Caenorhabditis elegans: one gene and its partners. The protein of the gene in region 2 purifies or fractionates together with the protein of the main gene of each other region. This does not show direct contact. Each region holds a gene or a part of one and is shown on either strand. Other genes may lie near its edges. The genes, in order: Y104H12D.2, ctf-18 and F29B9.1.

Region 1 (12,216 bases), 8.9 Mb from region 2:
AAGCATGCTTGCAGAAACGTTAGTTTTTGTTGTTTTTTCTTGATTTTCTTTAATTTTTTCGTTGAAAATTGCAAAAATTCTGAACTTTTGCGTCATGGTGTACGTGCACAGCGGGCACGAGACTTGACGCGCAATTTAAAAAATACAATTTTTTCGCGAAAAAAACAGATTTTTCAACCTTTTTTCGTGGTTTTTCGAATTTTTTTCTTCAAAATTCAATTTAAAACGCATAAATTTTGTTAGAAAACCTATTCTACCCTGTTTTCTCCATAATTTATCGCAGAAAATTTCCAATTTTCAGTGAAATCTCAAAAAAATTAGATTTTCTTCATATTTTATTTTAAAAGCGTGTTTCAAACCTGCTTCAAATTAATTCTTAACCTAATTTCCGCATAAATTTCCTAAATTTTCAGAGCGGCGCTCAAAAGTCATGAAGGACGACGATCGAAGCTGGAATGTGAGCCGAAATGTACGAATTTATTGGAAAATTGTCAAATTTATGGATTTTTTTACTTAAAACTTGTGAATTTCACGCTTTTCTAACAAAAATTTGAATTAATTGTAAAAATATTGTTGAATCTGACGACGGAATTGCAGAAATCCCCGCAATTTGTCGTAAGATTCAGAAATTTTCAAATTTTTAGTCGAATCGCTCAAGAAATCGCTCAAAATCGTCGTCGAAACCTGCACAACGAACCGAGCCGATGACCCAACGCGAGAAATTTGACGCAATTCTTCAAATTTCCGAGATTTCCCTGGAAAAACAGTACAAACTTACCAATAAGAAGGTCCCGCGGCGATCACAGTTCACAGATCCGGATGCGCCGAAGAAAAAGTCAAAAGGCGCCCGCCATTATCGAGATCAAAATCTGAAAACCCTATTCAAATCCTCGCTTATCAGAAAATACAGAAAACCACAGGAGTCCGACGATGATTTGGAGCCCGATGTCGCCCAGGATTCACCCGAAAACACGCCCGCGCCGCCGACGAAATCGCCAGAAAGTTCGGGATTTTCGGAAAATTTGGAGAATTTGGGCGCCAATACGCCCTCGCCGAGCCCCGATTTTGAGGAAGAGCACTTGGAAAAGAAGCCGGAAACTGGGAATTTGACGGAAAATCGACCGAAAAGGGTACGGGATGCACCTTATCTTACGGAAAAATGCAGAAAAATTTGAAATTATCTCCAAATTGGCGTCAAATTAGGTGTTTTGGCGGTTTTTTGTGCAAACACCGCGAAAATACACCGAATCTTACGACAAAATACAAAAAATAGAGATTTTCTGCAAAAGGGCGTAAAGTTTGGTGTATTGGTTGATTTTTGCGCGTTAAAAATTGGATTTCACGACGAAATGTGTTAATTTTTGAAATTTTTGCCGAAATTTCAAAAAACTCCGCATTTTTTCGTAGGATTTAGTGTGACTAGGTTACTGTAGCACCACCAAAAGTGTGCAGTGCACCAGATCTTACGACAAACTGCAGAAAATTCAATATTTTACGGAAAATCTCCTAAAACATGCAAACGTCTCATTGAAAATTCAAGTTTTCTGCGATTTGTCGTAAGATTTTATGTATTGCACACATCTGACGCTACAGTAATCCCAGAAACACCGGATTTGACGACAATTTACAGAAAACTCGAATTTTCGGGTTAATATTTCCAAAATATCCATTTTTGAACACAATTTTCACCGAAAATCCCAGTTTTCTTCAATTTGTCGTAAGATTTTATGTATTGCACACATCTGAAGCTACAGTAATCCCAGAAACACCGGATTTGACGACAATTTGCAGAAAACTCAAATTTTCGGTGAAATTTTTCCAATAAATCCAATTTTGAATCCAATTTTCACCGAAAATTTCAGTTTTCTGCAATATCTCGTAAAATAAATTGTTTTGCCAACACATTTGAAGCTACAGTAATCCGAAGAAACACCGGAGTTGACGACAATTTGCACAAATATCGTTTTTCTGCAAATTGTCGTAAAATATGTTGCTTTATTCCACCAAAAAATTCAAAATTTTCAGGTTTATAGCCACGAAACGGCCGAATCAATGGAAAACTACGCGAAACTTCTCCTCTACACTGCTTTTGATACAAAATCCTGGGAAACACTTGGCGGTCACATCAAAAACGGCTTCCGACTGAGTTTTGTGTGCTCCAACGGGCTCACAATCATCGAAAATGTCGTTGAACTCAATAAAAATCTGAATAAATTCAGTGATTCGAGAGAATCTCGAATGGTCGCTGATTTGTTTGAATTACTCCTCAAAAAGGGTGTTGAATTTGATGAAAAGTGCGTTTTTTTTTTTCGGTGAAAATCGAATATTTTCCGAGAGATTTTGCATAAAAATCACTCAAAATTGATAAAATCTACTACAAATTTGCGTTAAGTACACAGAATCAGACGACAATATGCAGATTTTATCGAAAAAATTCCGAAAAACTGTAGATTTTGAGCTAAAAGTCGCTAATTATTTCATCGAAACCGTCAAAACAAAATTCCCGCAATTTGTCGTAAGATTCGGTGTATCGACACGGTTGATTGTGCACAGAATCGGCGATACAGTAACCCAAAGTCACATTTTGGATGAAAAATCAATAATTTCACACAGAAAAATTCAAAATATAAAGTTTTTCCAAAATTTTACCAAAAAAAAGGTTCAAAACACCGAATCCAACGACAAAATGCGATAATTCCACAGAAAAAATCAATAATTTCACTTTTTTTTTTTTGAAAAATTGATAAATATACCCTGAAAACCTATAAGATTACCCAAAAATCGATAATTTCAGAGAAAAAAAAATCAAAAAGGTCAAAACACCGAATCTGACGACAAATTGCAGATTTTTGCTGAAAATCGATAATTTCATTTTTAAAAATTGATAATTTCAACTAAAAAATCGGTAATTTTACAGAAAAATCAAAAATTTAAAACAAAATCAAAAAATTTAACAAAAAAAAATCAATATTTTTCAATCAAAAATAAATTTTCTACGAAAAATCAATAATTTCCACAACAAAAAATCGATAATTTCACAGATTTTTTTGTTGGAAAAATTGATAAATTCACACTAAAAACCTCAATTTTTACCGAAAATTCAAGTTTTGTGCAATTTGTCGTAAAATACAGTGTTTTGCACACATCTGACGCTACAGTAATCCAAGAAACAGATTTGACCAGATTTGACGACAATTCGCAGAAAATTCGAATTTTCGATGAAATTTTCCTGAAAAATACAATTTTCTTTACTTTTTCACGTTTTTGAACTCAATTCTTACCGAAAATTCAAGAAATTTTTACATTTCTGCAATTTGTCGTAAGATTCTGTGTACTGCACATATATATGGTTACAGTAATCTAAGAAACACCGGATTTGACGACAACTTGCAGAAATTTCGACTTTTTTCTGCAATTTGTCGTCAGATTGTGTTTACCAACAAAAAAAATCGATAATTTCACACGAAAAAAATTATCGATTTTTTCAGGACTTTACCGCCAACAATGTGTGCCGCCGTCCGTTCCACCCGTTACGACATTCGCCGTGATTTCCGTTGCCTCCATAATCAATATATTGATAAACGTCCACGAATGTGTGAATGGTTCAGTGCCACCGGCGGCGGCGGCTCCTGCGGCACCACCGAAATTTGCACATTTTGGAACAACGACGCTGGCTACCTTCCCAATACGCACCAACGCTCGAAATTCCACGTGGATTTGAGTGAATTCACTGGGAACAATTTGGGGCTCCTCGCGTTTTCAATGGCATGGCACGAGGATTTCATCGATAATAATTCTGGGGGGCCGGAAATCGTGAAAAATGTATGCAAAATTTGTGATTTTTCTCGAAAAATGATGCAGGAAAAATCGATAATTTTGCGAGCATTTTTACGCCAAAAACTAGTGGAAAATCGTGTGAATTCCATGCAAACACCGGACTTCACACGACAAATTGCGGATTTTCTGCAATTTTGCGTCAGATTCGGTGTATTTGGGTGTTTGCACAGATTCACAGGGGCTACAGTAATCCCCAAAGTTTAAAAATAAATAATTTTTGTTTCAAAATGATTCGAAAATGTGTGAAAAATGGGGCTTTTACAACAAATTTTATATGGAAATCGCGATTTTCGTACGATTTTCAATGAAAATTTTGAATTTATCGTGAATTTTCTCTACAAATCCGGAAAACGTGATTTTTCAGCCGTGAAAGTGCGATTTTTGAGCTGCGAAAAACTGCGAAAACTCCTGGTCCTGTGCAAACACATCGGTAATACACCGAACCTTACGACAGAATGCAGAATAATCCCGTTTAAACGTAGAATTTGAATTTTTCGCGTTTTGTCGTCAAAATTTTGCGCAATTTAATACTTTTTGTAGAAAAACTCCATTTTTTACCAAAAAAAAACCGTTCAAATCCAGTTTTCCGGTTACTGTAGCCATAAATCGGTGTTTACACCAAATCTGACGACAAATTGCAGAAAAAAGTCGAAATTTCTGCAAGTTGTCGTCGAATCCGGTGTTTCTTAGATTACTGTAGCCGTATATATGTGCAGTACACAGAATCTTACGACAAATTGCAGAAATGTAAAAATTTCTTGAATTTTCGGTAAGAATTGAGTTCAAAAACGTGAAAAAGTAAAGAAAATGGCTTTTTTTTTAAAGGTAAATTTCACCGAAAATTCGAATTTTCTGCGAATTGTCGTCAAATCTGGTGTTTCTTGGATTACTGTAGCGTCAGATGTGTGCAAAACACTGTATTTTACGACAAATTGCACAAAACTTGAATTTTCAGTAAAAATTGAGTTCAAAAACGTGAAAAAATCTAGAAAATTGCTTCTTTTTTTTTTGTTGATAATTTGACCGAATATTCAGATTTTTCTGCAAATTGTCGTCAAATCTGGTGTTTTTTGGATTACTGTAGCGTCAAATTTGTGCAAACACCTTTTACTTGAATTTTAGGTGGAAATTGAGATCAAATTGCATGTTTTAGGAGATTTTCAATAAAAATTTAAATTTTCTGCAGTTTGTCGTAAGATCTGGTGCACTGCAAACTTTTGGTGCTACAGTAACCTAGTCCACACTAAATCCTACGAAAAACTGCGGAGTTACGACAAAAAATATAGAAAATTTCATTTTTTTTTAAAGGTAAATTTCACCGAAAATTCGAATTTTTTGCAAATTGCTGTCAGTTTCAGTGTATTTGCGCAAGATTTTCATCCAATTTTCATTGAAAAATGCGATTTTCGCCCTGAAAAATCTCAAAATTTTTTAATTTTTTAATTTCCAGAACCGCTTCAACGCCCACATCGATGTCCCATGCTTCACCCTTTGGATGAACGGAAAAATGTGCGAAAAACTTGAAAATTCGCATGGATTATCGATTTTTCGGCCGCTCGGCACAGTGCTCGACGTCAACGAACTGAAAATCAAGATTACTGAACATTCGTCACGTTTTGTCGCAATTTTGCCGGTTTTTAATTTGAATTCCGACTGGAAAAATTGTTTTTTTCCCCTGGAAAATCAATAATTATCGATTTTTTTCTGTTGAATTCGTATTTTCTATAATTTGCCGTCGTTTTCACTCGATTTCCCACTGATTCATAATAATTTTCTTTAAAAACCCACTGAAAAATCGATTTTTCCGCTAGGGAATTAATTATTATTGATTTTTTTTTGATAGAAAATCGATTTTTATCGATTTTTCGCTAATATTTAAAAATCAATTTATCCTAATTTCTCACTGAAACCCCCCCCCCCCCTATTGCTATCATGAATTCATGATAGTTTTCTTTAAAACCCACTGAAAATCGATTTTCCGCTAGAAATTTATCGATTTTTCGCAAATTTTTCATCACTTTTTCCCGATCTCGTTGTTTTTATCCCGATTTCATGTCAAAAAAATCAATTCCGATTACAATTCCATGACCAATTCTAAATTACAGAAAAATCGATTTTTTACGAAATTTATCGATTTTTCGCTATTTTTTCATCACTTTTTCCCGATCTCGTTGTTTTTTTTTTGAATTATTGCTAAAAATCACTTCCGATTACAATTCCATGACCAATTCCGCCCAAACTATCGATTTTTTGCTTGAAAATCGATAATTTTTCAACCGATCTCTTGTTTTCTTTTTAATTATCATTAAAAATCACTTCCTCTCACAATTCCACCACCATTTCCGCCAACAAAATCCACAAAATTATCGATTTTTCCGCCGGAAAATCGATAATTCCTGTTTTTTTTGTATTTTCCCCTATTTTCTTAATTAAATTGCTTGTAGAATTGCCTAGTATCCTAGAATTCTAATAGTAACCGCTAATATTATTGATTTTTCCAAAAAAACCCTGAAATTATCGACTTTTACCTAAAAATTGTCGTTTTTCTTCTGTTTTTATTGTGTTTTTTCGCCGAAAATTGTCGCATATTGTTAATAGAATCTCATTTTCTGCCCAACATGGCGCAATTCTTTTAATTTACCCTGACTAATGTGCTTTTTCTCACTTTCTACACCATTTTTGTGAACTTTTATCGATTTTTTTTTCTCGTGATTTTCCCCCATATATCATTGACCTACTTCACACATATGCAACTTCTGAACACTGGAATAAATTTATTAATGTTTCATTACTAAAATCTTTTGAAATTGCGAATTAAATTGATTTAAATCGGGGTTTTGCCGCACTTTCTGCGATATATTGCAATTTTTCGGTTTGAACTCCCGCGCATTTGAATTAACGACACTCCGATATCCCGCCAGCGCGTGTTGTTTATCGCGTTTTGTTTTTTGAATAAAATTGTTTATTTTTGAGCCAAAATCTTTGATTTCAACGGTTTTTTCGTGATTTTTTGTTAGAATAACTGAAAATTTAGAGATTTCAAGCAAAAAACTATGCCAGAACCAACGGAATTGTCTGGAATCATCTCAAAACTTGAGGAAACCTACGCATTCGCCACCACCAGTCTTGGAAACGTATTTATACCGATTGCAGCGGCCAGAACCAAGAACGAGACGCTTTTAAGCTTGCTCGACAAGTTTTCGTGAGTTTTTTTTGCTGGAAAAGTTACATAAATCAATTAAAAATCAAAGTTTTGGGTGAAAATTCAAGTTTTTTCGAACTTTTCCCGGAAAAAATCGATAAAGTGTTTCAGATACAACGAAACTGTGCAAATGGTGGTTATTAAACAGATAGGACGCAAAAATAACTGCAATTATCAGGCAAAACTCGTGAAAAAGCTCGAAGGCTCAATGTTGGCGGCCGCCAGAATTTCCAATGAAGTTTTCGGGCCATTGGTGGGTTTTTAGGGTTAAAAACTTGGTTTTAAGTGAAAAAATAGTCAGAAAATTGAATTTTCCATAGTTTTAAAGCTAAAAAATCTCGAAAATCCCGTATTTCCAGATCGCCCAGGTGACCAGCACCACGGATAGCTACGCGTTTGCTCAAAACGACGAAAAAGGCACAATTTTCGTGCCGGGAGACGCTTTTGACGCGAAAATCGTGAAAAATGTGGGCCGATACGTGAATACCAGCAATCAACTGGTGCTAAAAATCAAGGAGCAAATCGAACGAAAAGGGTGTAAATGGGTCGCTGTTGAGGCTGTAAAACACTTTGTTGTCGAGGAAAATGAGGAGAAAGAGGTGGAAAATCGAGAAAAATCGATAAATTTTGATCTAGAGCTCGGAAAACTGCTGAAAAAGTGAATTTAGAGCAGAAAATTGGAGTTTTGAGCCGCCGAATGTCCAATGTTCAAGTAAAAAAATGTGAATTTAGAGCTAAAAAATTTAAAAAATGGCAAATTTCGACTAAAAATATAACTTTTCTCCCGAAAAAACGAATTTTTATGACAAAGTTGAGCCATTTTGGTATTTTTGCCCAAATTTCAGCTAACAACTTAAAAATGATCTAAAATATCCAAATTTTTGTATAAAAACCTAAAAGTTCTCCAAAAAGTTCAATTTTTTGCCCAAATTTCCGCTAAAACCTGGAAAATACTCTAAAATACCCAAATTTTTGTATAAGAACCTAAAAATTGCGAAAAAATATCCAAAAAAAAAAAAAGACTTTTTGTCCAATTTTCTGTTCAAAACACGGAAAAACTATCCAAATTGCACTAATTATACAAAAATCTGTTTTTTTTGGCCAAAAAAAATTTTTTTTCGGCTAAAAACTCGGAAAATTAATTAAAAATGCCCAAATTTTTGCCTAAAAACCGAAACATTGCAAAAAATTCACAAAAAACTCAATTTTCGCCCAATTTTCGAGCTGAAAACACGAAAAATGCTCAAATTTTTCCCCCAAAATATGCCGAAAATCAATAAAAATTTCAATTTTTTTCAGGCGGTAGCAACTGGAGAAGTAAAAATTTCGTGGGGAGTCGTTGTGGAAGTTGATGAAATGGAAGCACATGTATTAGATGAAAAGAATGGAATACTTGTTACGTTAGTAATGTTAAAAACTAAAAAAAATCTTAAAAATCTTAATTTTATAACTTTCTGTAAAAAAAACGAAAAAAAAAAATCGAATTTTTAGATAAAAACTCTGTAAAATCGAGAAAAATTGACTGTTTCGGGCTTATTTTCAGACAGAAATTAGAAATATAAAAGCTAATTTCACAGAAACATAAACTTTCACTAAAAATTGGCTTTTTACAAAATTTCTTCAGTGAAAATCTGGAAATTTTACCAGAAAAATTCCGGAAAAATGTCAAAATGTTGACCATAAATCGAAATTTGTACAAATTTTCGGAGAAAATTGCATTTGATCATCAAATTTCATCAGTTTTTACATTTTTTTCAGTGAATATCATACAATTTCACCAAAATATTGGAAAAAAATCGGGAAATTCACATTTTCTATGTGGAAAATATAAGAAACCAGCCGTGGACCGCACCTACGGCGCGGCCCCCGACTTTTTGAGAAAACACATTAGATATACGGTGTCTATCGCGGACCTCGATCGATGTCTGCTGCGCACTTAGCATAAGGTTTCCCAAAATTTCGTTGCTCTGATCAGAGATCAAACTACATAAGGACAGAAGGACACGCGCTTTATATATAGTAAATGATATAGGAAAAATCCTGGAATTTTCCAGATTTTTCTGTGAAATTCTAGAATATTTTTGGTTGAAAATGTCAAAAATCCAGAAAATTTTCAGAAAATTTCCCTGTATATTGTCTGTGACTTGTGTGTTTCTCTATCCGAATTGATGGTTTGAATAGTGGTATTCTCGGCTGAAATATGCAATAAATACCGTATTCCAACCAACAATTTGTGCAATAGAGCACATTTGTCACTGGAGATGCAGAAGCTATGCCCAAATTTTCATTTAGCGCGGAAATTTGGCTGTTTTCGGGTGTAAAGTAGAAAATTTGGAAATTTCGACATTAAAATTTATTATAAAATTTGAAAAAAAATCCATAAAAATCCCTTTTTTCTGACAATTTTCTGTTAAAAATTGGTAGTTTTTTGGGTTTTTTTAAATCCCAGTTTCCGAGGAAAGCTATAAATTTGGGTACGGTAACTCGGAATTTATGATGTTTTTTTTTAAAGCTGTAAAAACTGAAAAATTCTGCTCAATTTCCAATTTTTGTTGAAAACCTAGTGGTTTCTTGGATTGTTCTAATTTTTTATCAAAATCCTGCTGAAAATTAGAATTTTTAGCTTTTCCGCTTGTTTTTCGGAATTTTTTGTGGCTTTTTCCAGGTAAAAAATCCGTTTTTTACGGAAAAAACGGCAAATTTTTGAATTTTTCGATGTTTTTCCCATGAAAATCGGAAAATTTGTATTTTTTGTTTATTTTTAAAGGAAATTCGAATTTTTTTTCGTGGCGAGACCCAACCTTTTCAGACTTTGCGCAAAGTAGGTCAAAATTATACGGCAACTTGGCAACTGAATTTCCCAATACTGTCTGTGACTTGTGTGTTTCTCTATCCGAATTGATGGTTTGAATAGTGGTATTCTCGGCTGAAATATGCAATAAATACCGTATTCCAACCAACAATTCGGTGCAATAGAGCACATTTGTCACCGGGGATGCGGAAGCTATGCCCAAATTTTCATTTTTCAGGAAAAACACCTTTTAAAAGCCAAAATTGGGCCAAATTTCATAAATTTTTGGCCAAAAAACTTAAAATTTTCACCAAAAATCGCCTTTTTTTTTGCAGATGCCCAATTCTAAAATACACTGGCGGAGCAGATGATAGTCCTTCGGCTCGAGCACTAAATGACGTCATATCAATCGATAATCACGTTATGTTCAAAGCTATGCTAATCAATGGAAGATATGACGCTGTTGAATGGAAAAAAATTGCCGATTCTCATGAACTTGTGATGCCGAAAAAAGTGAACACGTCGGATTCGTATGCACAGACTCCTGCGTGTCTTGTGGTACGGGGTTTTGAGTGGAAATTTGGGATTTTCCGCTAAAAATGAGCTGAGAAAATCGGAAATTTTAACCCTAAATTGCCTGGAAATTCGGAATTTTGCGTTAAAAAAAGTGAAAAAAAAACATTCAATTTTAGATCCAAAAAGTTTATTTTGGAAGCTCCCACTTTGGCTGAAATTTTGATATTTCTGGTTAAATTTTACCGGTTTTATGCAGAATTTTTTATAATTTTCCACTTTAATTGGCATTTTAGAGCCTTAATTTTTACTAAAAATGCGCTAAAAATTTGATATTTTACTAACTTTTGTTAGAAATGTGAATATTTTATTAAAAAGGTTGATTTTTATGTAAATTAAATTATTTTGTCAACAAAAATTAGATAAAAATTCGGAAAACCCATTTTCCATACCGTTTTCAGATATTTCTGGCCTCCTTTGCAAAAAAATGAAAAATTGGAAATTTTCAGGAATTAAAAAAAATTCAAAATTTTTCAAATATCTAAACAAATTAGGATACTTTGACCGATTTTGCTACGCTTAGAAAAAGTTTTAGTCCATTTTCTAAATTTAAATCAATTTTCTGACGACATTTTTCAAAAAATTTGAAAAATTTCACACATTTTGACTAGTTTTTTTTCCAAAAATGTAAATTTTTTTTAAACTTTAAAAAAGTTTTTTAAATTAAAAAGCTGTAAAAACCGAAAAATTCTACCTAATTTCCAATTTTTTGTTGAAAACCTAGGATTAGCTTGGATTTTGCTAATTTTTCTCAAAATTGTGTTGAAAATCTGAATTTCTAAGCTTATCCGTTTTTTTTTCTAACATTTTCGGCGTTTTTCATCCCAGTTACCGAGGAATGCTATAAATTTTGAGTACGGCAACTCGGCAACTGAACTGAATTTCCCTGTATATTGTCTGTGACTTGTGTGTTTCTCTATCCGAATTGATGGTTTGAATAGTGGTATTCTCGGCTGAAACATGCAATAAATACCGTATTCCAACCAACAATTTGTGCAATAGAGCACATTTGTCACTGGAGATGCGGAAGCTATGCCCAAATTTTCAATTTTTCACGTGAAAACTTTGTCAAAATCACTAAATTTTCGCCTAAAAACCTGAAATATTCAGACAATCATGTTCCGAAAACTGCTCCAAAATCATCCAGAAGATATGGATCGATACTCATCAATATTGGATCAATTGCCACCGTCAGCACTTCCAGATTGCTATTTTTCCCGTGAAAATTGCACGGAATAATGGGATTTTTTTTTTGGTTTTTTTTTCGGTTTTATTCTCGAAAACGTGTTTGTCAATACTAATTATTGGGTTTTTTTTTCACAATTTTGCACTTATTTTCCGCACAAAATCGGTTAAAATTCCGGCTTTTTTTTACCTATTTTCACCCATTTTTTACCCCAAAAAACCGGAAAATCCATAGAAAATGTGCGATCGAGACGATTGTGCAAGTATCGCGAGCCGCTGCACCGGAGAAACTATCATTTGTGCATTTGTGGAATCAATCACACCGCCCAAGATTCGAGATAAGACGGGTAGGTTTTTTTTTTGCGGAAAAACTGCAAAATCCACTTAATTATCGATTTTTGGTGCGGAAAACGCCGAAAAATTGTCATTTTTGGGTTACTGTAGCCCCAAACATCACACCAATGCATCGGATCTTACGACAAAATGCAGAAAAAATTCGATTATTACGTAGAACCGCGTTTTTCCGCATTTTGTCGTAAAATCCGGTGCATTGATGCGGTTTTTGCACGGATTTAGGGATACGGTAACCACAAATTCGATTTTTCATTAAAAAATGACATAGTGCTAA
Region 2 (11,468 bases):
GGACCCAAACGCGGCTGGTAGTTGAGGGCAAACTGGGGGAAGGCCTGCGTGGCATTGCATACAAGGTTAAGCACCGAAACACCATGAAGTGTTTGAAGTTATTGCCACTCAGCTGGACCTCAAGAAACAAGGAAGCTCTCGAAGACTTGGTCGCGCTCAGATCACTCAAAACTATCAAGAAAGAGACTCCAAACTACTTGACATTCTTCGATTCTTTTGTTCTCACGAACCTGCCAGCCTCAACTCAAGACAAGCTCAATCAACTTGATCCACAATGCCCAGCTACTCACTACCTTGGACTCCTGGTCGAACTGGGATCAAACAGTTTGGACAATACAATGCTGACAACCGCAGTCGAAGGATTATCGATTGTCAAGCAGCTTGTGCTCTCTCTTGTCATTGCGAAGCGACGTTTGGATACCAACCACAATGACGTTCATCCAGGGAACGTGCTCGTAAAGCGTTCAGCATCACCGAAAACTCTGAAGTACACCCTGGATGGCAAGGTGATCCGCATCCCTTCGCATGGATTGGTCGTCGGAATTATCGATTTTTCGGAGGCGTCGTTTGGCAGAGCCAACGGCAATTCGGACGTGGGCTTCCTCAGTTTCATTACTGAGGAAATTTCGAAAACATTGTCGAAAGCTGAAAATCGGGTTGGTGTATTATGAGAATTCAATAATTAAAAATAATAATTTCAGACATTCCAAACAGCTATCGATGGGCTCACCGATGCAAGGAGCATCACAGCCATCTACCCGAACGCCAGCATCTTCAAAAAGCACTGAACTCCTTCTCTCTTTTATTATTTTATTCTTTCTCTTTTTAAATATATAAATTTTCCCTTGATATAATCGTTGAAAATGAACGCAAAGTCAGTCGAAATCTCTAAAAAACATCAAATAATCGAATTTGTACTGAGGCGTAGTCGAAAGCTTTGAGCGAACGGATCAATATCATCTAAAATCTCCAATGTAGATTTTTAACTCGATTTTTCCGTCTTCTTGAACTTCTTCAATTTCTTCTTGACTCTTGCCTTCACAAAAATCTTTGAGGTCAACGGTACATTTTTATTAGAGAACTCAAACATGTGCATCCATTAGAGCATTTTAGTTGGCAAGGATCACAGCGCCTCAAATCGGGAGAAATCGGGAGTAGTATCACGTGGTGTCAGGCTGTCTCATTGCGGTTTGATCTACGAAAAATGCGGGAATATTTTCCCAGAAAAATTGTGACATCAGCACACTCTTAACCATGCGAAATCAGATGAGATGTCTGCGTCACTTCTCCCGCATTTTTTCGAAGAATAAAGCAAAATGGGACTTTTTGATTCCACGTGTAGTATTTCAGGATGAGAATCAATATAATCCTTAATATGCAGATAGCTATAGATACAGTAACTTTGACAAGTCATATCTACTGGGAAACAAAAGATATCAAAAAGTGATCAACTAAGAAACTGTAGAACATTTCAAAAACTATAATACATATTCAATTAAAATCATATATTTATCATGTAAGATGAAGGAGTTATTTATAGCAGCCAGAGGAAAGGCAAAAAGTACGCAATAGAAATGTAGGTCTAACTCCGCCATCTCGAAAGATAAAACGTAGTTTAAATTTAAATATTGTAGTTTTGCATTCTGTCTGAAATGGAATGTGAGTTAGAATAGTCTCAAGCCATTCCACTGGAGGGAGTCGCGGATGAAAGCCACTGGAAGTCGCTGGACGTTTGAAGAAGAGCCGGCAGCAAGGAACGAGATGAGGAAGACTCTCGGCTGCTGAGTTGCCTGGCACTTCTGATTAAATGATCATTGATTTAGAATTTTACTTGTAATTATTTCACTCCGTTAATGCCAGTGTTTTAGAAATAGTTCCGCATTCATTTTTTTGAAACAAATGTACATACATTAGCTGAAATGAACTACAGATAAAACTAATGGTTTGAAATAGAACCACCTCCAGTGGTTATTAGTGTCACAAGCCACAGGTGGTTGCAATGCTCAAAATATTTTTACTTTCTTTGTATTTAGGCAGTGGTTTGAACGTGCGAAAATGCTCGACATTTTTCAAGAATCACAAATTTTGCGAAAACTTGGCCATTTATCAAAATTTTGACAGAAAACGTTCAAAAATGTATCACATTGTTCTATGATAATTTTTTGTAATTTAAGTGTATTAAAAGTGCATTCTGACAGAATCGTAACTGGCTGTACTCCACTTTTTTCAAGTAGATGTGTTGGTTGTTGTAGTGACATCAACCAAATATGGTCCTGTAAAAGAAGTACTTTAACTTAAGTGAAAACTTTTTAAACTCACTACAATCGTAGTCAACATCAAGTCCAACTGTTACTCGTTTCACTCCATTTGACATTTTTCTACAAAAATCATCATCCATTGTCAAATTTCCATTGAAATTGAATGTGATTAGAGAATATGCAATTTTGAGATTTGGGAATGAAATATCTTTTAAAAAATCGTTTCTTCTGAATTCTATAACAGTTCTAGGTCCCAGTTGTCTTGATCCTTTATTCACAATATCTATAATTTTAAAATTCAGTGAAATAAGATAAAAGATCACAAACCTTCAACTTGATAAATTTCTTGAAGGTTGGGCAATGTGAACGATTTTAGTGTAGTTCCTTGGATATAAATTGTTCCAAATATAACTTCAAATTGTTGCACTCTAAAATTAAATAAAAATTTTTAAATGACCTGACAAGTGCATTTAATCATTTGTTACCTAGACACTATAGAACATGTTTTATTGCTCTAAGAGTGTTGCTCTAAAAGCAAAAATTTGGCAATGTAGCAAACCTTTGATGTACTTTTTTGGAAAATTTAAAAAAAATCTAAAAGTTTTTGGAATTTCCTATTATTTAGGTTTGACTGTAACCAAACACAATACCTAAACAAAATCCCTGTTAATCCACTTTTGAAATAAACAGACTTGGAATTATTGTTGGAACTAAAGCTATGCAGCTAGAATTTGTTTCAAATAGTTTAAATCAAACAGCACCTTTTCATATCTACTTGTGATATTTTCGTATAATTTGTAATATCTTCATAATCGGAGGTCATATAGTTTTCAAACAAAATATTTCCAATATACCGGGTACATCGATCAGGAACGGCGGTTAATTTTCCAGTGCAATAAGTCAGCGGATTGTTAATTTCTAAATGGAAAATACTTATTGAAACACCCTTTTTCATACTTACTATCCATTCCACAAAATGACATACTCTGATATCCTTCCAACTTTCTTAACGAAGATTGTGCAATCGTCTGAAGAAATTCCGGATCCAAGCAAAGTTTCGTGTTTTGGAATAATGAAATATCGGAATTTGAATTCTTACTTTTGATTGTTTTCAGTTTTATAAGATCCAAACGACTCAGATAGTTGTTACTATCAATATTTATTGTGTAATCAGCTTCGATTCCTTAAAAATTCAACTTTTTGAATCACTGTTTTTATTAATAACTCTTTCTTTTAATAACTCTTTCTGTTTTAGAGGTTTTGTTTCCGATAGTTTGTCTTCTGTTTTTTAGTGAATACAGTATTAACTCACATCATTTTCTATTTTAATGTTGTGATATAGTTTTGAAATCCCCGCAGTTCCACTACAGTAACCCAAAACTATCATTCTAAGATTCCAAAATTGATAGTAGAATGCTGTTAGATACTATAAACTACAATTACTAGAAACTACTCAGACAAAGTATGAAAAATCTAAGTGGTGCACTGCCAATAGCTAAAATCTTGTGCTGAACTTTATAACTGACTCCTGCTAAAAAGTTAAACTCCAATAGTTTAGGTAAACAAGTCTAAATTGTGTCTAGATTCGCCGTAATCTTGTCAAGTTGAACTCTAGGCAGTGCCAATTTTAAACGTTTTATCTTTGCCTGATTATGTGATAAAATAATACCTGATTCAATTTCATCCAAATTCTGTAAGAAACCCAACGTTTCTAGATTACTTGATTTAATTTGAATAAAACCATATAATTTGTTGACTGTTGATAATCTATATAAAACTTCAACCGGTGGAGCATTACCATCAATTATAATATTTCCATACAAAACAATGCAGTTTTCAGGAAAATTTTTGACTTGGGGCCATTGGAAATTCCCATGAATTTCACAGCCACAATCAAATAAGTTTTTGGAAATTGAACGCCGAGTGAAAAATACTTCATGAATAATAGAACACATCTTTTGTAAGTTTAAATTTGGATTATTTTTGATTTCGACTATGTTATTTGAATTTGATAGTGATGATATATTCAGATTATTTAATTTTGTATTGTTCAAAATAGATAATCCTTTATCTGAAAAAATATTTAACTTTGAATGTGTTCAATTGCAATATTCACTTAAAAATCGCCATGGAAACGAGCAATTGAAGACGCTCCGCCCCCAAACCATGAGTCTCGTTAGGTATTTGGAAGCAGAAGCGTAAATTCAAACGTTATCCGTTAATGTCGCCTTTCTCAATTTTCAAGCATTTTTGGTATTTTTCGTTCTAGGCATTTTTAAATCATTTTCGCCTAAAAAAGATAAAAACAACAGAAAATCTAATAAAAAATATTACAAATGTTTAAAAATCGGTAAAACTAATTGAAAATGTTTGAATTTTCGTTCTTACACCCAACGAGACCGAACTGTAGGGGCGGGGCGATTTCAATTATCTATGGAGCGCATTTCCACGACGATTTCAGAAGAAGATTATGTCTTCATCCCCATAATAGTGTTCTCTGAATATATTACCCAATGGATCTCCAGTTATATTCTGAATATTTTTCATGAAAGGCGCTGAAGTTAATTGAGTATTCCATATTTGTAGAACTCCTCGAATTTGAAGAACATTTTTGAATAAAGTGATCAATTGTTCACTTTTCATTTCAGAATTTTGATCGATACGAAATCTTCCAATAATTTGAGAGCATTCAGTTGGAAATAAGCTCTCTTTTGTGATATAATGAACATTAAATGAACAATTGTCTGAATCAACTTCCGATAAATAAAAGAGCCACATAAATATATGAAAAAACATTCTCAAAATATTTTTGTTTGAGAATAAAGTTTGTGGAAGTAGGAATCGGTGAAGATATTTAATTGCATATTTCAATTGAGTTGCCATGAAAACAAGTGACATTTTCGATGAAGCTGAAATGCTATTATAGCATTCTTAATTTTGAAATGTGAATTCTATGAACTATTAAGAGATCATGTTTTTGTTCATATCAATTTCGAACCCCGCATTATTTTCTGCAGAAAATTAACAATGTTTTAGTCTGAACTTAAAAGGAATGTATTGTTCATTGGGGTGATAAAATCGGAAAATGAGCAAAAGATCATAGGAACGTGTATACAGCGCTGAAACAACTGAAAAAAGTAGTATACAGCAAAAATAGTGTCATTTTACAAACAAATACTTTGAAATTAAGGTTAAGAATCACCAAAAAGTATAGAGTTGAGTTGTTGCATGGTGACTTTCTTTTTGACAGCACTACTGTCTCCATCCTGATGATTAAATACTATATCTGTTAGTCTTCCATTGTGTAATCTTTTCATTGCTCCGGCAGATAGTCTCTTCTTCTTTTTGCTTTCTGATTCAACGATTGCTTTGATTTTATCGGCATTCGTAGAAATTCGTTCAGTATTCGAGGTACTCTCTGTCAGACGAACACGCATAAGAGTGATCTGAAAATTTTTAAGAATTAAATTAAATTCTGAAAATAAAATTTGCCATGGCCTGGGCAGAACACGGAGCTTTTTTTTTGCTCAAATAGACTGAGACTTCCCAAACAATTTTATGGTGTTTCAGAATTTCGAATTTCGAATTTGTTAAAATCTGAGATTTTCCCAAGCTTGTCGTAGCAGCTGAAATACAGTTTTTATTAAAGGGTGAAAATTTGATTTAAAAACTGTATTCCAGTTGTTGCGACAATTTTCGAAAATGCAGAACGCCACAAAAATGTTGAAATTTTTTTTGAGAAATCTCATTTTCAAAATCGAGTGTCTCGGGCCGGTTTTAATCTATTTGATGAGAAAACCTACAAACTCTACTCCTTATTTTAAGAAAGCACAAAGTGTGAATTCAAAACTTTCAGGCAATGAAAGAAAATTAATTTAAAACAATAAATACAAACCTTATGAGCAATCATTTGTCTTGTCGCATTGGCAAGATACGGCCGCTTTGGTCCATCCAGTGGAAACATTGTCAAAATATCAATTGAAGGAGTAAATAACCAATTAACTTGATCTTTTACCATTGTGGCAGTGTATGTCAAACCATAATCACACATAATCGAGACAGTTTGATTGAAAGTCGCAAGTTCCCGTTGATTATACAATGACTCATTCATCTGAAAATTTAAAAATTAAAAAAAAAGAGAACAACCAGCGATTGTTACCGGTTTGATAGGTGGCTGAACAATATTGACAATGAATGGCAAAATATCCAGCAAAAGCTCTTTTTTTGGTGCACCTCTAGTCGATTGTCCACATGATCGAACTGCGCTGATTGTTTCTTCCGATTCCTTCGTTTTTTGGAAAATATTTTGTTCCAACTGTGGATAGGCGATCGGAACACGAGCATGAGTCGCAATGTTGAGATGGAGGGAAACGAAGAATGAAAAAACATACTTTAGAACCGACCAGTTTTGAAGACTGTGTACCTGAAAACAAGAATTTATAATAGTTGTTTAATACTAATAGTAATTAAAACTCACGATTTTCTGAATATCATCATAGAACAAAAACCATGTAGACGCTTTGCGTATTACTCCAATTGGAAGAGTTACAAGATAATTTGCATGTAAACCAGACACAAATCGTTCTTCTCCTCCATGGTCTGCCGATATTCGTTCGATATCAAATATTCTTTCTCGTACAGATTTGATTCCTCCCTTTGCGTCTGTATGTTTAGATAACTCAAGAATTGACGACCAATGTTCGAAAATAGAAGCAGATCCGCCTTTCTCTTTCTCAATAACCTAAAAAACAGATTTCTATTAATATCAAAAAATATACAGCGTCATACCTCATGGATCAACTTCATTCCAATTGCTCGATTCGATTTTCGTGCTGCCACCGCTACCCATTGAAGAGTATTAATTGAATGTCTCATATCATTTGCACACAATTCGCATAACTTTCTCAAAGTACTCAAATCACATCGAAGACGTTCTCGGTCACAAATTTCTTCCAGTCGTTTTGCTAAAACATCTTGTTTTGTTGCGACTAGTTGCACACACCAGGCGACTCCTCGTAAATCACGCAATGCTGGCGTATACCTTTAAAAACAAATAATTAGAAAATCAAACACATCTTACGAATACATTGAGTTATCCCGATAAAGGGGGTTTGTGTTCCGATTTTTACCAAAATCTGAAACCAAGAATTTTAGTTTTTGATTTCTTTCGATTTTTCGAAAAATATCTTGAAAGTTTGATCATTTTTATTCTATTTTATTTTTATTCATGTTTTCTTGTGTTTTTATCAACAAAAACAGAATTTGATTTCAAAAAAAAAAAATAATTTTATGGTTCACTGATTTTTTTTCTTCGAAAAATTGTCGTTTTTCGATTTTTAGATTTTCAGTGAAAAAAATCGTCAAAATTTTCGCTGACATCTTTGTTCCCGATTAGGACTGTCGTTTTTAGTTGGTGTTTCTTGCAAAAATGGATTTTTGGACTAAAAAACAAAAGATTATCTTTCAAAAATGTAGGTATGATGGAAAAATCAAAAGTGTTTTTTTTTTCGGTTTTTTGGAGAAAATTGGTTTTTGGTTGAAAATGTTTTTGCAACTGTTCCCGATATCCTATTATATATTTTCTTTCTGTGTCACTGAAGCCATAAAATAACTTACAAATTATTGCAAATTCCAATAATGGGTCGCCGAATGGCTTTTTTGCCTGTTGCTTGAATACACCGAACCAAATGACGAATAGTATCAATTGGTGTTCCATCAATTTCATCAAGAATCAGGCATGCTGGCCGTTGATCTGCATCAAGTGTTCGAGATGTTTTTACAGCTCCTTCTAGTACTTTATTTAAATCTGCGACTGTTCGAGCATCACTTGCATTTACATCAATTGTTGAATAGCCTGCTTGACGAGCGACAATTCGTGCTAGTGTACTTTTACCGAGACCAGCCGGGCCAGAAAGAAGCAACATTTTCGATGATGGACGCCGAATTTTGCCATTATCCATGTGTAGTACTTCTCGTTCTTTTTCACCGAGGCTTGCTAGTAAATCGTCGACTTTTTGATGGAACACACACTCGTCCCACATTTTCAGCCATGTAAGAATATTTCGATTGACAGTCTGCAATATCGTGACTTCTTTTTTTAAAATAATGTAATTCCTTACACTGTCCGAGAGCAAATCTGAGAAATTTTTGGCTTCGTACTTGTTCACCCATAATGATGATTCTGGATGAGATTTATTATTTTCATATTCAGACGGTGTTTCAGTTTCTTTAAGCATGCGTGAAAACTCGGCTTCCTGTTCTTTAACGCGAGATTCTTCTTTCAACTTGCTGAAAACTATAAAAGTATTCAATTTTCTAGTGAAACTATTACCTAAGACGTTCGGATTCCTGACAAATCGACTGAAAAGCTCGAAAACCGACCCTCGAACGGGTTGCTTGTTGGGTAATCGATTCTACTAACGGAACAGAAAGACGATCATCACGGAAAGTTCGAATATAAAATCGTTGCCCGTTGACGACATCACTGATACCAATCCAAGGTGAACCATCAGTTACCGGATTTCGCATGATTTCCTGAATTCAATGATAAAAATATAATCTTTCAAGGAAAAGTAATAACCTGTCGTCTTCTATATCTCCGTTCCATTTCTAGCTCACAAAGTGAAGAAATTGTCTGCTCTCCGCTTTGAAAATCGTCAAAAGCATTAGAATGATGATTTTCATTCATTTTTCTTTCAGCTTGAGCAGCTGCTTCGTTGATTTTCTGTTCCAAGCTTTCGAGGGCTCTTCTCTTAACAGCATTTACTTGTGACTTTTGTAATACTTCACTGGAAACTGTTTCCATTCTCATATGCCAATCTAAATATATAATTTAATTGGAAAACCTTCTTTTTGACTGACCCATTGGATGTGAACGTCTTCCATATTGATCAAATACGTCTTCTACTTCATTCAAGCGTCTTTTTCTTTTACCATATCCAACTTCTTCGAGAGCATTCCTAACTTCATTGATTCTTTGATTTTCAGAGTCTCCATTCGGAACTACAGCTAGCTGATCCTCATCATCTCTTAAAATTCAGCGAATGTAAAACTACTTCTGCTTCTCAACATAAAGATCTTACGGATATTCAAGTTGCCCATCATCGTCGGCAAACCCAGAATGCAGTACATTGTAGTCATCATCCATGTCTTGCTGTATCCATTAGAAATGTTAGAAACACAATCTCACAACAATAAGTACAATACACTGTTACTTGACACACTACATATAAAAAAAACAAATTGAGAAACTTGAATAATTTAGATACAAAACTTTATTTTAATTCCAACGTGCCAAAATGGGGGTAAGAACTTGAGTACAAAGAGTACTCCCGAACACCAATGAAGGAAACAATAACGGGGGCTTGTAAAAGGAGAAGGAAAGTGGTAATATATTAAAACAACATTCAAATACAACTTGGATATTCGGTGGTGGGATGATGTCTGATTGCAACTTGTACTCGAAAAGAGTAAACTCAGATGGGATCACGGTCGTCAATCACCGAAAACCGGGGAGATAGGATGTGAAAATGGGATGCGGGCTGATTGGATTGGATTGTTGAGAGATCTACTAAAACGCTACACGCCATAAAATTCAGATACCAGAATCTTCTTACTTAAATCATCATTATTAGAACGGTGAGGAAGGAAAGGAGAAACAATAAATAGGAAAATGAGAAGGATAGGTACAGAATCTAATGGATGTGCAATTCTTACAAGAAGGAAAAAGGAGAACGGAAAGCTTCTAATTTTGTCCCGCATTTTGGAAACCGCTGCGCATACCACCTCGTGGAGCACCACCCGAACCGCCACGGCGGAAGAATTGTCCACCGCGTGGTTGGAAACCTCCACGTCCTCCTCGGAATCCGCCGCCTTGTGGTTGATCACGTTGCTCACTAATTTGAGCATGTCCGTCAAATCCGAATGCATCCAGTTTGAGTGGAAGCTTCCACACGCCTTGCTCATCCTTTGTAGCCGCTTCGAAAATGGCTTTTACTCCGGCCTTGTTACGCATGGTAATAAATGCAAAGGCATGTTTCGATGTGTCGTTCGGACTGTCAAGAACCTTGCGCGGCATGCGAACCTCCTCGATTTCTCCATATTCTTAAAATGAAAATTTAGTGAACTATTGGGACTATTAATTTGCTTACTGTAGAACACCTGCTTGATTTCCGATTCAGCCTGAGCTGTGTTGCTGGGGACAATCTCTCGAGTGATTCCTCCCAAATAGATCTTACGCTCATTTAGGTTGGCATCTGAACTTTCCTGAGCTTGGCGCAATTCATTAGCTGGGTGCGACTGTCTCTGTTGCTGATAAAGAGGAGCATGCGATCCTTGTTGTTGCTGATGCATGGAAGGCTGCATGTGGTGCATTTGTGTTTGCTGATGGATTTCTGAAAAATAAATAATCTGAGACTAGCCCGATCATCTTTCGTTTTTTCAACTCACGCTGTCCTTGTCCATAACTTTGTTGTTGTGGGGGCTGAGACTTTCCACCTCCACCCACAAGATTAGCCCACGTTTTCTGAACCTTTGGCTGTTCTTGAACAGGCTCAGGAACTGGGGCTCTCTGCTGTGGGGGCTGTTGGGCAAGCTGTGGTTTCTGCGGTGTTTTCGCTACCTCCTTTTCCACAGATTTCGGAGTGTCTTGCTTCACTATACGATCTTCAGCTTTCTTTGGCGTTTGCTGCTTTGGAGGAGCCGGCTTTGATTGTTCCTTAGGTTGCTCGGTTTTGGAAGATTTGGAATCCTTTCCATTTGCTCCACTGGCGTGTCCGTTATGACCAGTCGACGAAGTAGTCTTCTCCTTTTCCGTATTCGCGACGAAAAACTTATCAATGTACTGAAAAGCGTCTGATTCGACATAGTATTTTTTCTGCCCTTGTTGCCCAAGCAAAAATGATTGAAGGAATGGACGGAGGTTAACGGTTCCGATAACATTGATAATCACTCCCTGTTTGTGTGGGGTTGGGTATCCCTTAAAAATATATTTGTAGGAAAATCGAAGAACGTCGTGTTTACCTTGATAGATTGAATCTTGAAGTGGGTGGTTTCTGGTAGATGATTGTACAACTTAACAATCTCCTAAAAATATATTAACGAAATGTATTTTTGTCAATTTATATTTGTTGCCAACCTGCGATCCAGTGACCACCTGATCATCCAAATAGAACTTCGATTCATGTCCATAGAACTTGGTAATCGCTTTAC
Region 3 (9,304 bases), 5.5 Mb from region 2:
CAAGAAGAATTGAAGCTTGAGGTGGACTCGGACAGTGAAGAAGATGATGTCCCAGAGCAGAAAACTCCAAAGGAATCGGATCGATGTGGAGGATGCGGAAAATTTACTCATGAAGATGATCTAATTGCTCTTGAAGAGGAAAAGAAGAAGGAAAAGGAAAAGCCACTGATGAGCAAGAAGAAATCTCACCATCACAAGAAAAATGACTTCCAATGGATTGGCTGTGACTCTTGCCAAACCTGGTACCATTTTCTGTGCTCAGGCCTCGAGCAATTTGAGTATTACCTGTATGAGAAATTTTTCTGCCCCAAATGCGTTCCACATACCGGACATAGCATTCGTAAGTTTTTTCATCGAATAGCTTGCAATTAAATATATTTATTTATTATTTTAGGATACAAAGTCGTCGCCCCACATCGTTATCGCTGGTACAGTCCGAACGAGAAGCATCTCGGAATTGAAGTTGGCTCAAAAACTTGGATTGAGGATTTCATCACCAGAGAAAATACTGTTCCCTCACCGTAAGGGAATTTTCATTAAAAGATGACTTGGTTGTTATTTGTGAAGACTCGAAATACGCCAAAATGAACGAAGACTTCACAAAAATTTCAAGAAAAAGAGTTAATCTCAGCTGAAAACTCCCATTTTTGCCGTTTTCTCACATTTTTCGTTTATTTGGTACATTCTGAGCTGTCAGTTTACTAAAATTGGCCTTTTTTGATTACCTATTGGCTTCAAATGTACATAAATCAACGAAAAAACTTGAATTTATCACCTATAATAATGTTTTTCGTTCATTCCGGCACATTTTGAGTCTAAACAAGCAAAAAACCCAGACCTCCCTTAAAGATTATTTAAAATTAAATTTGTATTCTTTAGAACCGACGATGAGGTTTGCATTGTCGAAGATGGCTACGAATTCCGCAGAGAATTCGAAAAACTCGGAGGAGCTGACAACTGGGGAAAAGTTTTTATGGTCAAAGACATGGACGGCCTCAATATGACAATGCCGAAGCCTGGATTCGATTTGGAGGATGTTGTGAAAATTATGGGATCGGATTATGAAGTGGACACGATCGATGTCTATAATCAGAGCACCTATTCGATGAAGCTTGATACGTTCAGAAAACTTTTTCGCGACACTAAAAACAGACCACTCTTGTACAATTTTCTGTCCCTTGAATTCTCGGACAATAATGAGTGAGTTTATTAACTGAAAACAATTGAAAAATTAATTAATTAACATTTCCAGGATGAAAGAAATCGCTAAGCCGCCAAGATTTGTCCAGGAAATCTCAATGGTCAACCGCCTGTGGCCTGATGTCAGTGGAGCGGAGTACATTAAACTCCTCCAGAGAGAAGAATATCTTCCAGAAGATCAGCGACCAAAAGTGGAACAGTTTTGTCTCGCAGGAATGGCTGGATCTTATACGGATTTCCACGTGGACTTTGGTGGTAGTAGCGTCTACTATCACATTTTGAAGGTATAATTATTGAAGGAATATAAATGGTTCCGCGGATTGTGAACGTTCTGACCCCGCCAAAATGTTCTCAAATTAACGAATTTCGTTTGAAACTTCTGAAAAAATTCTCAATATTTTTTTGGTTTTTTTGGAGGTTCAAAATTAAAAAAAAAAGACTAAATTTGGCTAAAATCTCCTATTTTCCGAGATTTTAAAAGCATTTTTGAGAAGCCTCATCACGAAATTCGTTGATTTGAGCACATTTAGGATCGTAATGTTCGAAATACCCTTCTTTCAACTGAAATTGGTTTTCTCAAAGCTTATTAACTCTATTTTCAGGGCGAGAAAATCTTCTACATCGCCGCGCCAACGGAGCAGAACTTTGCAGCTTATCAAGCACACGAGACATCTCCGGACACCACTACATGGTTCGGTGACATTGCCAACGGAGCTGTTAAGCGAGTTGTGATCAAGGAAGGTCAGACACTGCTCATCCCGGCTGGTTGGATTCACGCGGTTCTCACTCCAGTCGATTCGCTCGTTTTTGGAGGAAACTTCTTGCATTTGGGAAATCTTGAGATGCAAATGCGCGTGTACCATCTCGAAAACGCGATTCGTAAGGAAATTAGAAGCGAGGAGAAGTTCTACTTTCCGAATTTCGAACTTCTTCATTGGATGTACATGCGAAACGTCTTGCTTGAGAAGATTACAGGTAAGCAATTTACTAGTTTGTATAGCGGTTTTACTAATATTCGCTACATTTCAGAAGCCAATCAGGAAGGTTCTGACATGCGTGAGCAGGAGAAGAATATTTGGACGGCGTCACAAATCATGAAGGCCGAAATGGAGCGCTGGATGGATCGAGAGTTGAGATTGGGTCCCGAGAAGAACGCGATCCTGCCCACTGACGACAAGAATAAGATTATGATCTCGGTGAGGAAGCAGATTGAGATTCAGACGAAGATTCAGAATGCCAAGAATAAGCCGATGGGGTTGAAGCAGAAACGTAAAAGTCGAGAATCCGCGGAGCGGGATGATGAGGACTATTGCCCGTCCAGCTCGACTGCCTACAAGAAGAAGTATACGAAAAAGGCTAAGAAGGACAATGATGATGCTCCGAAGGTGAAGAAGGCGAAGAAAGAGGAAGTTCCCGAGGAGAAGGTTCCGGTTCCTGAAGCAGCAGGTCCTTCCGAAGTTACAGCTCCATTGACCATCAAGATTGGAATGGGACCGACTGAAGATCAGAAGGGCGTTGTCCAGATATTCAATAATCAATGCACGTCGTCTGGAAGAAAAGTAAAGTTGAATCAGAACGTGGCCGACTATTGTGGATCCCATCTCGAAGCACGCGTCGAAGAGATTCCGGAAAAGGCGACGAAAAGCTTCCGCGAGCTTGACAACGAACTGGAGCGCTGTGAAGCTGTTCATTCCGGAGAGAAAATCAAGAAGGTTAAAGAGCCAAAGCCACCGAAGCAACCAAAAGAGAAAAAGGAGAAACCACCACGTAAGAAAAGATCGAAACCTTGAGAACTGTTTAATAATTTTTTTTTTCAGCAAAGAAAAAGGAAATGAGTTCCAGAGATCGCCTCATGAAGAAGCTCAAAATGTGAACGTCCTCTACCTCAAGATATGTGTGCACTTTGACGAAATATAAATCTCGTACAATTATAAAGTGCCCCCCGATCTTAATAGTAATTTCCCCGTATTTTTGACTAATTTTTACATTCGTTTTATTGTTTTATTCACACAATCCCATATTCTTTCACGCGGTTCTTTTGCATCCAAAAATTTGTACAAGACGATCTCCCGAATTTACTGACGGGGATTTTTTTGTAGTTTGAAAATACACACGCACAATAAAGCGTTGATTATGTTAATTTTTTTCCTTGATGTGAACATTGTTGAAAGTGAAATGCAAGAAAATATCTGCTTTTTAGACTTTAAACTTGGATTTCCTAGAAGAGATCTCTCTAGAGAGTGAACAGAGAATTAGAGAAACGAGGCAAATGCAAATGCAAAAAAAGCTCTATGGAACTACTTTTTTCAGATTTTGGAATTTATTATTTATTTTCGGGTTTTAAAATAGCTTGAAATGAGCGACATGAGCGAACAAAGTGTTGAAATTGCTTCTTCACAACTTGGAACCAAGGATTTGTAAGTAAAAATTCTAAAAATTTACATCTAGAGTTGGCTAAAACATTTTTATTTCAGCTGGGATCAACGATACGAGTTGGAACTTAAAAATTTCAAGCAACACGGAGATGAGGGAGAGGTGTGGTTCGGAACATCGTCTGAAACACGAATCGTAAAATATTTAATCGATTCGAAAACCGGCAAAGATGCAAAGATTCTTGATTTGGGATGTGGAAATGGATCGGTTTTGAGGAAATTGGTATGGATTTCGAGCTCAAAACCTCTGAAATTCAGTTTTTTTTCAGAGATCGAAAGGATTCCAGAGTCTGAAAGGTGTTGATTATTGTCAAAAAGCTGTTGATCTTTCTGCAGCCGCTTCGAAAGCTGAGCGAGAAGAGGAAGAAGACGAAGAATTAGTAGATATTGAATTTGAGGTGTAAATTTTTGAATTTTGCATCATTAAAAACGGAGAAGAGGTGTTTATTCATCTAAAACATAAATTTTTGCATAAATAACGAAAAAATAGCTAATTATTTTGAATTTCCGCGCAAATAAATTACCTAGTTCCGACATTTTCGCGTTTTCCGACTAATTTGATTGGTTTCTTTTGTAAAAACACCGTTTATCAATTTTCAGACATTTTCCCGGGAAGAAGGCCTGAAAAGCGCTAAGTTTACTTTAATTTATAATTTTTTTGCGGAAAACTTTCTAAAAATTGACAAGGGGTGTTTCAAAAGTTTAAGGAAAATATAAGAAAATCGAAGAAAACGCGAAATGTCGAAACTAGGTTATTAATTTGCTCGGGAATTTAAAATTAATTCACCAATTTGAATTTTTTCTGCAAACCGCCTTTAAATATTGTTTTTCTCGAAATTTCAAAGCAAAAACGTTTTCTTTCAGCAATTGGACATAACCACACCGCCAGCCGACTTTTTCTCCTCGAAATTCGATGTAATTCTCGATAAAGGCACATGGGACGCGATGAGCCTATCCGATGAACGAGAAGCTCGTCTGAAAGCCTACTTGGGTTTTCTTGATAATGGTCTGAGCGCTGGCGGTCGATTTGTGATATTCTCGTGTAATTTCACTTTGTAAGTAGGCCTAAAAAGGGCCTCGAAATGAAACTTCTAAATAGGTCACTCCAAAAAATTGAGCGGCATACGAGCACTTTGAAACTGAGAAAAGTTGATCTGAAACAGCTTCCAGACCATTTTTTTCCATTAAAAAGTTTATCAAAAATTTGCATTGTTTTTTGACCAAAAATTTTTTGACCAAAGTTTTCAGTTAAAAATTGTATTTTTTCAATTAGGGAGATTTAAAAAAGAAAATCAATTTAGATATTTCCAACAATTTTCCAAGGTTTCAGAAAAAATCGGAATTTTTTTTGACTGAACCAAATTTTTTGATTAAAAAAAGTCAGGATTTTTGAATTTTTTAAAAATCGTCTCAAATTGTTCATTAGATTCAAAAAAAATATTGAAAAAATGAGCTGAACCGAGTTCAGATCGATTTTTTCTAGTTCAAAGTTCTCGTATGCACCTAAATTTTTTGAAGTTACTCTTTCAAATGACATATGCAAGTTCAAATACTTCCATTGTAAGTCGAAATCAATTGTTTTCCTTTTCAGCGACGAGATGTGCTCGCAATTCGGTGGCGGCGGCGGCTCAACAAGTCTAGAGATCGTGTGTGAAGTACCAGCAAGTCACAGCTTCTCGTTTGGCGGAAAACAAGGTGTCACTTCAACGGGTGCCGTCTTCCGGAAGAAGACTCTATAAACACCTCTCCTCTGTGTTATTGTTGTTGTTCATTTCTTTTCCCCCTTCCCCCCCCCCCCCCACATTTCTCCCATCGTTTCTCAGTTTCTCAGTTGTTATATAAAAAAAAAGTAGGTTTCTCTTATCTCTCTCCCACTGTGTTCTCTCTTTAGCTAATCAGGTGCATCATCATCATCATTTTAACGCCAGTGTTGCTCGGCATGATGGATCTTGGAGAAAGTGGCAGCAGACCCTTCTCCTCCTAGACTACTTTTCGCGGAAAATGGGAGTTTGATAGGGCGGCGCCTTCTTAGACGCGGGGAGCTCCTTCGTCTCCAGGGACTCCTTTTGAAGGAAGGAGATGGGGTGCTTGTGACCCGAAGATGGGGGCTCACTTTCGGCTCCGAGCACAAGTAGCAGCAACAGCAGCAGCTGCAGAGATTCCACGTTGTGAAAGAGCTTCTCTTTTCGACCTTTCGTCGCCTCATTAATCATTCATTCAATCTTTTTTACATGTTCGTTTTCTACCTCTTGCTCCCCTCCCGTACGCACACTTTTCACACATTTCTTTAATCCATCTGAACATGCATATTTCTCTTGTTTTCTTTTTGTTTTCTGGGTGACTTCTTGGTGGTTTTTTATTAGTCTGTATAGGCAGAGTGCCAAAGACAATTGACGACGACACACACACAAGTATAGTCGTTTTTTGGTGAAAGAAGGAAGGACGAAAATGTTATGCAAAAAAGTTGACTTCCGGAAGTTTTTCTGCAACTTTTCTTTTCAAAAACGTTCTGAGATTCAACTATGTATGCGCCTTTAAGCTAGGGGTACTGTAGTTTAAAAAATTTGAGCTTTTCGAGATTGTTTTTGATGATTTTTATTTTTAATGCTACATAGTTTTCTATTAAAAAAATAATTTTCCAGGTGAATTTTGCAATTTTTGATACGACGACAGATTTTTGATAAAGGTGTGCGCCTTTAATGAGTACAGTAACCTCCACTCCTTTTTTTTGTAATTTTCTATAAATATTATTCTATTATTTTAAATTTGTTTTTCAAAAAATAAAGCTTTTAGACACTACTGTAGTTCTTAAAGGCGCACACCCTTTTTCATTAAAATTTTTTTGAATGGTCTCACCGCGAAAAAGTTTTCGAATCTTTCCTTTTCTTTTGAAAAATAATAATTAAAAACTGAAAATCTTCACAAAAATCAAGAAAAAGTAGAAAAATGAAGATATTCGTCTACGAAATCCCGAAAAAAGGATATATAACTTTTTTTCACGGTGAGACCCATTCGAGAAAATCCGAGCAACATTTAAACACGCATTTCAGAATATTGTGAGCATAATAATTTTAAAATCTTTTGTTTTATTCCCCATGTTTCGATTTTTGCGCAAAAAATACGGTACCGGTCTCGACAAGAAAATTATTATTAAACTCGAAAAGATGTGCGCCTTTAAAAAATTCTGTAAATTCAGATTTTTATTGTTGCGGAATTTTTACTGGGTACCAATTGGATCTTCACAGTTTTTTTTTCAATCAAAATACTTAAGCAAAGCAAGCAAATACACATCGTAAAAAAAAACTATGAAAAATTGACAAAAAATTCCGCAGCCAGCACAATTTGAAATTACAGTACCCCTTTAATTCGCGCATTTTTAAAGAATCACCAAAAATTGGTCGTATCGAGACCAGGTACCGTATTTTTGGAAAAAAAATCACAAACTCACGGCTGACTAATAAAAAATAGCTTTCGATGTAGAATCATCAGTGCATTAAATTACGAGAAAAACCTTTCTACAGTACTCTAGTTGATTTATTTTTAGGAAATCAGAAGAAAAAATAATGCAATTTAAAGTTGGAAAGTGCAAAAATTTCAGTGTCAAAACTAACCGAATCAAAAATGACCTTTTCGTGCCAAGACCAGAACTTTCCAAAATACCAATAATTGAATAAAACGTTTAGTTTCCTCGTGCCACCCCGGCGGGCGGGTGTCACTAATTGTCAGTGGCCTGGTGTGACATCAAAAAGTTTGATTTCATTGTGGCCGTCGTGGGGTCCTCCCATTTCTCTTCCTCTCTTTGCCAACACCACAAACGGCGTTTTTTTTCATTTTCTGCGACCGCTTCTTCCTTTTTTTTATCCCACCGAACGTTATTTTTTTTTGCATAACTTCTTCCAGTTTTTTTAGTAGTATGAAGACAAATTGTTGTGTCTTCTTGTCCCCCCATCCTTCCCGCCGAAAAACATAATAAAATAATTCAATTACCGTCTAGCCGCCGCTTCTTGTCTTATTTTGAAGAAAATGAGCCCAGTTTTACAGAATGAAGCCTCATTTATGTGATCAACCAATGAATCTTACTCGGCGAGCATGCTGTCAACTTGTACTATTTTTGAATGATACTGAACGGGTGAGTATATTATAATTGGTATTTGTAAAACGATTTTTAAGTAATAGAATGTAATAGAAAAACTGATTCTTACATTTTTTTTTTCATTTTTGAAGGAAAAACGTTTTAGATAGGCACAAAAATGCATATTTGCTCAAAAATACGGTACCTAGGGTCTCGACGCGACACATTTTAAAAAGAATACTGTAATGTTTTTAATCGAGTTTTCATATTTTTTTACGAAAAAATTTATTTAATTATTTAAAAACATATAAATCGCTATAAAAAGCTGCGAAAAATCCTTGAAATTCCGAAAAAACAAAAGTTTGAAATTACAGTAATTTTTAATGACGTTTGGTTTTTTGCACAAATCTCAAAACTTAGCGTCTGGATAATACAAATCTGCGTTTACTGGGTCAACATCTGGTTTTACGAAAAAATGCGGAAAATATGTGGTAGGCAGGCATAGGAACGCCTGGAGATTTAATTTCTTGTCTATCAGTGTTGTTTTATTTGTCTGAATATGTTTTTTTTCCAAAAACTTTCGCGTAAAGTATGGTGCATTGTCATTACTGTACACACCAATGTGATGCAACATATCCATATTTTACGCGAAAGTTATCTAGAAAACAATGGTTACAGGCACAGTAATAGGCATTTAAGTTTACAGGTGTGTCAATGTCTGCCTGCCTGCCAACCGCCTATTTTCTGCATTTTGGCGTAAAATCTGGTTTTTTATGGTGTTATTTTTTCCTAAAAAATGCCAACAAAGTACAAATTGGACATTCAAATGCGGAACTTTCTCCAGATTTATATGTTTACTATAAACACAATAAACTTTCAAATCCACCGAGACTACTGTAATTATCATGTTTTGGTGCACACAAAACAAATGCCTGTAGTCATATCGCGCTGACCCTTCTCTGAGCCCCCGTCGAGCTTCTCTACTCTCTTCTCCACATACACACTCTCTCTATCCCAACGAATAAGGAGAGTATTTATCATTTGTGAGATTTCCCTGTCAGGGGAATCCCCGTGGGATCATCCCCACATCTTCTCAAATCTCCCCCGATTTTTTGCTTTTTTGTGTTGGAACAATCATAATTGATGGGTGGTTTTTTGACGTGTATTTGGTTTCAGGTGCCGCCTTGCTCCACATCAATGCTCCCATCAACTACGAGTCATGTAAGTTTGGCCCCCATCTTTTGCTAGGTGGCCTAGAAAAAATGAAATCTCGGGCACCCTTTGAAGCTGACCCAAAAAATTATCTCAAAAGGTGGTTTTCATAGTCTCGTCAAACCGATTTTAAAAGGGTAGCCGATTTTTTTAACAGTTTTTTTTTAATTCTTGATTTTGTATTATTTTTTGCCGACTATTTTGAAATTAAACATTTTAAAAAGTGAAACAACTTGAATTTTTAGTTTTCTACAGAATATACATCGAGGTTTTATGTATTTGAAAAATGAAAAATAACAGTTCAATTTAAATTTTGAGTTTAAAAAGCTTTAAAGCATGCATTTTGGCTGGAAAAATGGTTGAAAAATGAAAAGAGCCCTTTCCCTCG

Evidence for each region.
Region 1: the proteins of ctf-18 (region 2) and Y104H12D.2 fractionate together in Caenorhabditis elegans (co-fractionation; one large-scale study listed by BioGRID). This does not show direct contact.
Region 3: the proteins of ctf-18 (region 2) and F29B9.1 fractionate together in Caenorhabditis elegans (co-fractionation; one large-scale study listed by BioGRID). This does not show direct contact.

The regions. Positions count from the first base shown.
Region 1 is NC_003282.8:1,171,149-1,183,364, forward strand, and holds Y104H12D.2 (DUF7930 domain-containing protein), read left to right. Parts: upstream 1-6,873; 5' UTR 6,874-6,890; coding exon 6,891-7,039; intron 7,040-7,150; coding exon 7,151-7,292; intron 7,293-7,398; coding exon 7,399-7,638; intron 7,639-8,338; coding exon 8,339-8,439; intron 8,440-10,165; coding exon 10,166-10,388; intron 10,389-11,443; exon of another isoform or gene 11,444-11,513; coding exon 11,514-11,642; 3' UTR 11,643-11,716; downstream 11,717-12,216. Other genes in the region: cec-2 (Chromo domain-containing protein), read left to right, coding at 1-18, 414-469, 645-1,130, 2,026-2,294, 3,489-3,822, 5,288-5,527; rmif-2 (RecQ-mediated genome instability protein 2 homolog), read left to right, coding at 11,827-11,935.
Region 2 is NC_003282.8:10,117,234-10,128,701, forward strand, and holds ctf-18 (AAA+ ATPase domain-containing protein), read right to left. Parts: upstream 9,412-11,468; 5' UTR 9,406-9,411; coding exon 9,341-9,405; intron 9,287-9,340; coding exon 9,120-9,286; intron 9,078-9,119; coding exon 8,839-9,077; intron 8,793-8,838; coding exon 8,590-8,792; intron 8,547-8,589; coding exon 8,378-8,546; intron 8,333-8,377; coding exon 7,875-8,332; intron 7,300-7,874; coding exon 7,047-7,299; intron 7,000-7,046; coding exon 6,736-6,999; intron 6,682-6,735; coding exon 6,418-6,681; intron 6,370-6,417; coding exon 6,154-6,369; intron 5,705-6,153; coding exon 5,450-5,704; 3' UTR 5,304-5,449; downstream 1-5,303. Other genes in the region: C04G2.10 (Protein kinase domain-containing protein), read left to right, coding at 1-656, 702-788; irld-21 (Receptor L-domain domain-containing protein), read right to left, coding at 2,227-2,273, 2,320-2,541, 2,586-2,686, 3,020-3,176, 3,220-3,441, 3,928-4,329, 4,769-5,054; Ras GTPase-activating protein-binding protein gtbp-1, read right to left, coding at 10,003-10,361, 10,409-10,651, 10,707-11,235, 11,280-11,342, 11,395-11,468.
Region 3 is NC_003282.8:4,661,869-4,671,172, forward strand, and holds F29B9.1 (Protein-lysine N-methyltransferase CELE_F29B9.1), read left to right. Parts: upstream 1-3,510; 5' UTR 3,511-3,555; coding exon 3,556-3,617; intron 3,618-3,674; coding exon 3,675-3,855; intron 3,856-3,901; coding exon 3,902-4,030; intron 4,031-4,496; coding exon 4,497-4,687; intron 4,688-5,223; coding exon 5,224-5,371; 3' UTR 5,372-5,423; downstream 5,424-9,304. Other genes in the region: jmjd-1.2 (JmjC domain-containing protein), read left to right, coding at 1-340, 395-521, 880-1,200, 1,253-1,484, 1,803-2,175, 2,230-2,967, 3,018-3,073; F29B9.12 (uncharacterized protein), read left to right, coding at 7,675-7,761, 8,881-8,925.